Linked DNA regions of Coturnix japonica. The protein of the gene in region 2 purifies or fractionates together with the protein of the main gene of each other region. This does not show direct contact. Links are inferred from orthologs where the notes say so. Each region holds a gene or a part of one and is shown on either strand. Other genes may lie near its edges. The genes, in order: RMND5A and MAEA.

Evidence for each region.
Region 1: the proteins of MAEA (region 2) and RMND5A purify together in Homo sapiens (affinity purification with mass spectrometry; 5 studies listed by BioGRID and IntAct, counting the BioPlex papers as one, with this or other methods). This does not show direct contact. The link is inferred for Coturnix japonica from reciprocal best matches to the Homo sapiens genes MAEA and RMND5A.

The regions. Positions count from the first base shown.
Region 1 is NC_029519.1:77,639,849-77,643,670, forward strand, and holds part of RMND5A (E3 ubiquitin-protein transferase RMND5A), read left to right. Parts: intron 1-258; exon of another isoform or gene 259-289; coding exon of another isoform or gene 290-367; intron 368-496; coding exon 497-631; intron 632-801; coding exon 802-902; intron 903-3,465; coding exon 3,466-3,632; intron 3,633-3,809; coding exon 3,810-3,822.
Region 2 is NC_029519.1:76,606,974-76,610,795, reverse strand, and holds part of MAEA (E3 ubiquitin-protein transferase MAEA), read left to right. Parts: intron 1-1,254; coding exon 1,255-1,377; intron 1,378-3,822.

The DNA.
Region 1 (3,822 bases), about 1.0 Mb from region 2:
CTGCCCCCCCCCAATTATGTCAAAAATTGTCGAGTTAAAACTTTTACTTCTAATTTGGTGCCCTGTAGTGACAGTGATGCATTGATAATGCTATTCTGATTTTGACGTGGGCGATTTTTGTCTTCTGTTCTTTATGCTGTTCAGTTTTCATGTATGGAAAACTCTTTTCTGCAGATACTTTCTGCAGAAACCCATTGCAGTCTTTATTAGTTAACTCCATTTCTCATTTGCTAGCTAACTTGTAATTTGTCAGTGTAGTTCCTTACAGTGGATAATATTGAGACGTGAGATGAGCAAGCCAAAGGATGTCTTCTGTACACAGGAGATAATGAAGCAGCTGACAGATACATTTCACTTTGAACAGGAGGTAATTAAGGGCAAACTGAGTAATAGGCAGAAAGCACCGGAGTGGAGACATAGGTGTCCTGCGTAATGCGAGCAAAATTACACGGGGCTCTTTGTTCCAACCTATTAAATGTTAATTTGTACCTTTCAGAACTTCGACTCTGACATCAGCAGCGTGGGGATAGATGGGTGCTGGCAGGCTGACAGCCAGCGGATCCTCAACGAGGTGATGGTGGAGCACTTCTTCCGGCAGGGGATGTTGGATGTGGCCGAGGAACTGTGTCAGGTAATGATAAGTGTGGATGTTGAATGGTATTGAATGTGGAGCGTTGTGCTTTGTGGTAGCATCCTTATCTGAATGTTAATTTTCCAGGGGAATATTGAAACTGTCAGGAAAACAGTAGTTTAATTGTGTCTTTTATAGGCTTTAACCTGAAGCGTGCCTTTGTTTTTCAGGAATCTGGTCTATCAATAGATCAGAGTCAGAAAGAACCATTTGTGGAATTAAATCGAATATTGGAAGCATTAAAAGTTAGAGTTCTGAGACCTGCGTTAGAGTGAGTCTGCTCTTTTTTTTCCTCTTTTTTAAAAATTCTTTTATTAAATCCATAGTTTTTCACTTTAAATATTTAATCTTTGTTTTGGTGTGTCCTCATTTGTTCTTTGTGACATCCCATTATTGAGCAAACGTTTCCCAGTTGTTCCCTTGTTGTTCCTCCCAGTGGTCAATGCTTAACTAAGGGTCTCTTTCTTAAGAGTAATAGAATCATAGAATTGCCCAGGTTGGAAAAGACCTTAAAGATTATTAAGTCCAACCACAAAGGATTAAGAGTTAATTGAAGGTTTGGGGAGGAAACTTAACCAGGGATCTGTCATGATGGTTCTTTACTGTACTTACAGTGAAACACTATAGAATGTTATGCACAAAGGTCTAGCTGTTGAGGATAATAGGACTTAATAAAGGTGTTGGGTATCACCAAGTCTTCTTTGCTTCACTGAGCCCCGGTGGTGAGCAAAACTTAGATTTAGGATCAACTGTATCGCTTTTTCCTCAAGACAGTTCCCTGTTTAGTGTAGATAAAGGCTGGGAAGAGGGAGTGAAAGAATAGCTATGACCTGTAAGGGCTACTGCTGCCAGGTAGGTGGTCATTAGTGTTGGGACAGAGATATGGCCCTGGTGGCCAGGAAGTGTTTCTGGTGTGTGGGCTACAAGGGGAAATGTGGGCTGAAAGTGTGATCTGAGCAAAACAACTTGGTGAGTCCAAGAGTTGCAGGTTCTGTCTGAGCATTCAGCATTACCTGAAGTCTGAGAGTGGCTGAGATGTTATCGATCAGCCTTAGACTAAGATGTTTTCATCACCTTAATAGACTTCACAACCATTAGACACGTAGGATGCTTCTGTAAGGGAAAGATGATGGAATATCTCATGAACTACTGTCTTATAGTTTCCAGGAGTGGGTACATATCTATTTGGTACAAATCAGAACAGCTTTTATTTTAAAAACAACAAAGTAGCAAACCAACCCTCAGCCTATTTTTGTGGCTTTGGTAAGCTTACTCAAAAGCAAGAATAGCTTTTTAGCAACCTTTTAAATGTGAAAGGCATGGAACAAAACATTGAAAATGTGTTTCAGTCCAGATCTTAATACCAGCTCAGGTGTGTGTCAGTTCAGAGGTCATTGTCATCTACGATACATGCAGGGTGCTCTGATATTCAAACCTAAAGTAAAGGATGCTCTCTCTCTGAGGAGCAGTAAATTATTGCTTGTGTGTCTATATACCTCAACTCACTGTGTTCATTTTAGCTCAGATTACCCAGGCCCTGTGTCTTATTCGTTGCAACTTAGCCATGGCTTTTCATTCCTGCAATGTGTTAAATATTTTTCAAACAAAGGAGAAGGAATGGTCCTTCTTCAAAGGAAGCCTTATTCCCTAGACAGCTGAATTAGATGAAGAATGGAGTGTATTGTTAGTTCAGTTTGTATGCTGGCTTCCCTCCCCCACCCTGCCTCGTTTCTGCTTATAGTGTGACTTTTCAGGGCAAAAACTCTCTGCCTCTGTGTCTGTAAAGCAGAGAGGTTTTGGTATTCATTGTGACCTTTGGGATGTGGATTAAGCTCATTTAATCTTCGTTAGGCTTTGTAAGATTCATCCCAACTCAATTCCACATAGGATCTAGAGGAGAGCTGTGGTTTGTATAGTGTGCAATGTACTTCAAAAATTTCAGGTAGATTTGAGTCACAGAATTGAAAGTGCTCTGAGCATCATTTTGATAGGCGTTAGGAAGACAGGTGTTGTGATTACTGACGATGTTAAACTGTGGTGGGGAGCATGTGAGTTAAATGTTTTAACCATCATTTTCTGCTTTTTCTCTTTCTATTGCAAATCCTTTGAATGGGAATGGAACACGCTAGTCCAAACACCTCAGGCCTTGCTTCTGTATTTGCTTTCTTCTCATCCAAATCAGTGCTGCCACTCAGAGTACAAAAAAGCCAGAAAGATTGCCTGAAAGCTAGTTTGGAAAAACAGTCTCTATTGCAACCAGTTGAAAATAACACAGATCAGGTTTTCAGCAGAGCCAAGTATTGTATCCAGACTGATTTCTCTTCCCCTTGTACCTGCAGTGCATGGACTTGTTCTTTGATGATTCCATAGATGAACTTCCCCTCTCCAGGGCAACGTACACATAAACACAGTGGCTCAGCAGATGATGTTTGGGGAATGAGGAAGTTGAAAAACGTGTTGTTGACAGTGTTGGTCAAAGCTGTATAGCATGCAGCAGAAGACTGTAATTGTTAAGGTTCAGTGCTATTAATTCAAATAGCTGAAATTCATTCCTATGTTTCTACCTTCTATTATGTCTAAATCAGTTTTGCGTTCCAGTTGCTGTGTTAGAAGGCAGAGGCTAACCTATGCAGCATGTTGTACATATATTGTGTGTGCACCATGACTCTTACTTGTAAAAGATCTTAACTCTTTTTCTGTGCTCCATGTAGGCTAAGTTCAAGGAACAGTCATCTTGAAATAGATGCTTGATAATTGTAATAATTTGATATCGTGTGGGCTGACATCTAATTACTCCTGTTCCGTGTCCTTTTGTACCTCCTCGTTTCTTCCAGGTGGGCAGTATCCAACAGAGAAATGCTTATGGCACAAAATAGTTCGCTGGAGTTCAAACTACACAGGTTATATTTCATTAGTTTATTGATGGGAGGAACAGCAAATCAAAGAGAAGCACTTCAGTACGCGAAGAACTTCCAGCCATTTGCCCTAAACCATCAGAAAGGTAAGGTTTTATTTCCCTCATTGTGACCAAGGCACTTGGAAGTGGCATGTGGAAGTTATATACAAATCATGTTCCAATATCTTCCACTTCTGCTTGTTTCCTTCATACAATCTAAAAGTGAAGACACCAGCTTTTGTTCATAGCATAAACCAACTAACTGTTCCTAATCCCTCACAGATATTCAGGTTTT
Region 2 (3,822 bases):
TATATGTCAGTTTAATTTTTTTGATAGCATAATGCTGTTGTTAGAGTCGTAACACATAAACTTTGCCTATGACTTCAAAAACGAATTCTTAAGTCATGGAGAGAACTTTAGGAGAAGTTTTTGTGCTTAACCACTTACACTCTAATTTAGAAGTACATGAAACATGTCTGCATCTCTGTAAATAACCATTCTGACAAAACTAGTCCAATCTGGCCTGCTTTTCCAGTAAGAGGCTTCCTGTATCTATAAGGAAAAATTGGCTGATGAAATGCAAGCTGTGAATGTGATATGCCTGGCACCATTTCTCTGCTTTTTAAGTTTGCCTCGGGGAAGTCTAAGACTGAATATATTCAGCTGTTCTAACAGCTGAAAATGCCACCTATTCCAGAGAGTGGTTTGGTTCACTGCAGCTACTCTAACATTTGTCATACTTAGCATTTCAGTTGTATGATTTTCTGCATTTTGCTGTGAAGTCTCCATAAAAGTGAACTTGTTCCAAACTGGTGTGTTAATCAAATATTTGATAGCGGCTTGTTGCTTGTGTATTGAGTTATGGTATCTCACAGAGTATCTTCTTTAACAAAGTGTGAACTGTAACAGCATGATATGTTTATGCAGCTCAGAAATAACTTCTGGTAGTGCCAGTTCAGAGTGAATCTTATTCATATAATTTGGAAACAAACTAAATGCTTTTTGAGATATATATGGGAAAAAATAACTTGCTAGCCTAGAAGATCTTAAATCTTCCTGGGTTGTGTTATCCTTGGTTGGTACAGATGTGTAAAGCAGCTTGCAGTGAAGTAGCAGAGGTACAAGGCTTGCTCCAGACAAACTTGATACCAGATGCTCCTCTTTAAACATATCTACTTCCATTAAGCAATGGAGGAACTATATACTATAGACATTGGCATAGTCCACTGATGTAAGACAAGCATTGTGGATACCAAGTATTCTTGGAAATGTGGATTTACACCCAGCTGGTGAGATCTTGTCCATTTCCTCGCAAAGCTCCAAGATGTCATCTTTATTTCTTTTTCCTAGTTCTGGTGCATAAATGGGTTTAGAAGAGTCTGTCTTGGCACATGGAGATGCGGTGTTCACAAAATTGTTACAGCAAATTTTAAGTAAAGTCCTTTAAAGATGTCTCTGAAACAGTCTTTTATATCTCCGTGCTCCAGTTGGTTAAATGGATTGCTGTGTAAAATATCAGTATGATTTAACAAGCTGTGCTTTCCTTTTTCTTTTCTATTAAAGGACTTAGTAAATATTGAGATGTTTTTGACTGCTAAAGAAGTGGAAGAGTCATTGGAAAGACAAGAGACTATGACTTGCTTGGCTTGGTGTCATGATAACAAATCCAGGCTCAGAAAAATGAAGGTATGAAAACAATGTCAATGTTTTGCCTAAGCAGCGGTTCTCTAAAGTATTTGGTTATTTGATATGGTCAATTTGGTTTAAATTATAGGTTGTGAATAAAGCCATATGTAAAAGTAAGGGAAGTAAGTACAAAATGTATTTGTTAAGGTTACTGGTGCTGAGCTAGCCCAAATGAATGCCAAACTTTAATGCGATGTGTGTAGTAGTGTCTCAGAGCATGTGAATCTGTGTGTATAGCACTCAGTATCCAGCTGAGAATGTAGCTCATAGTTCATATATGAACAGTGAGACTAATTTGTAAGCCTGTGTCTGAGAGGAATATCATATGGATTTGTCTTAATATTTTTGAAGTGCAATATATGTAAATATAAAACTAAGCAGACTTGAGTGAAGAAGTAGCTTTTTATGAGGGAAGTACTGAGGACCTTCTTGCAAAAATAAAAGCAAGTCTTATCGAGTAACAAACACGGTAAGTTGACTTCTAGCTATTGAGTACTGAGTGTGACCTGAACATGCTATTTCACTGTGTTCCTGTGCAGTTGGTTTAAATTTCCTTGACTCTTAAATTCTACATTTAAAAACAACGTTATAGTCTCTTTCAGGGCTTGCAGAAATCTGTTTGACTGTATTAATCAGAATCTCTACTTCCTTCAGTGGTTTTGGTGTTTTCAAACTAAGCTTTCTTTAAGGAAAAGATATTTAAGTATCCTTAAAGATAAGCAATGAGTGACATTCTCTGTCAATCGGGCACCAAAATGAGAATGAACCAAAGATGGGACACAAGAGTAAAATGACCAGTGATTACCCTAAAGAAAATGATCTTTTAATGGAAAAACCATTAAAGGAAAACCAGAATTGGCATGTAAACAGCATTGCATAGCTATACCACTGGGAAAACATATGTATCTATATAATTTTAATACAGCAAGTTATGGAAGAAATTAACAGCCGAATATCTTTTTTCATCCCTGATCTTTGCCAAACAAGTAAGGATAAAAATTTTCCCTGTCATCCTTTGAGAATGGAAGAAAAATACTGCAAGCCCTACTCAGACAGTCTCTGCAGATTGGGTTTTCTTGGGGGATGGTAGGGGAGAGCTGTGAGACTTTTCTTTACTGCTGAAACATGTTAATGAAATAACTGAGCCATTGGGATTGGTATCATTAACAATTTGGAAAGTTTTATTAATTTTCTTTAATAGAAACCAACATAACCAATATTCTAAATAAGGCTTTTGTGTAGATCTGAACAAAAGATCTTGAGTTCTATTTGAAAATTGCAAATAAAAAGAAATCTTAGTTCTTTGCAAACCATGGACTTGAGCACAGAGAAAGGTGTACTTGGAAAGTAACGTACTTCCCACTCCTTAAACAAATGTACCTTAACAGGACAGAACGTATCACTTTAAGCAGCTGACATTTCTAATCTCAAGACAAGAAATTGCTGTAATGTGCACATCAGAGACCCCATGCAGTTAATTAACTGAAATTTGGAGTTGCTCAAATTCCTCCTGAAGTCACTGAGGGGTTTTGGATGGTATTGTACTGATGGATGATAAACAAAAGGCAACTGTTCATCAGAAGCTTTGGGGAACAGAAAATAGATTTGCCTAACAGAGCAACTCAGTGTAATTCAAAAACACAGTTATTTTTTGGGATTCAGAAAGGGTTCTAGTTTTTGGTTGTTAGGGTAATAAAATAGTTGACTGTGTCCTTATATAGAGGCATAATGGCTTGTTCTTTTAGGAGGGAGAACCTTTTTAATTCTATATATATATAAAATTTTTAATACAGAATTTTTTGTGAACTGATGATGAAATTTGATTTAAAGAGACACTGTCAATTTCATTAAGCTTCAAATTATATTTTCCCCAAGCAGGTAAATGTCACTTGGTTTCCTTGTTTGAGATTTGTTTTCAGCATGGCTTTTAGATGTTTTGACAACAGCAGTGGGTTAGAAGCTTGGAAAAAAGGGAGCTGGGGAGAGAAGGACCACAGCAGTCTAGACTCAGTGCTGCTTTTCATAAGAGGAGGGTGCTTTCAGAATGAGTTTAAAGACTTATTTCTTCCTTGCAGTCTTTTGGGTCAATCTCTCATGTCTTAAATCGGCCCCAACCTTCTACTGAGTTATTGCTTTTAACTTTAAGATAGTACTGAGAACTCACCTACTACTCTTACTTGCATCCCAAAAAATGATGATTTCAGTCATCAAGGAAATGTTCACTTTTTGTAAATACTGAAGTTTGGAAGGAGCTTTTTGTTTGCTTTTAGGGAATTGTGTTGCTGTCTTGTCTGTAGACAGCATTTCTACTTTCTCTGCATGAATACCTAAAAGCAAGCAAACAAGGTTGCATGTAGTTAACACTTCTTTGTTGTGCACACATAGTATTTAACATCTGGAGAAAAGCATGGTTTTGACACCATCTGAGACCCTGTCTTGTCTTTG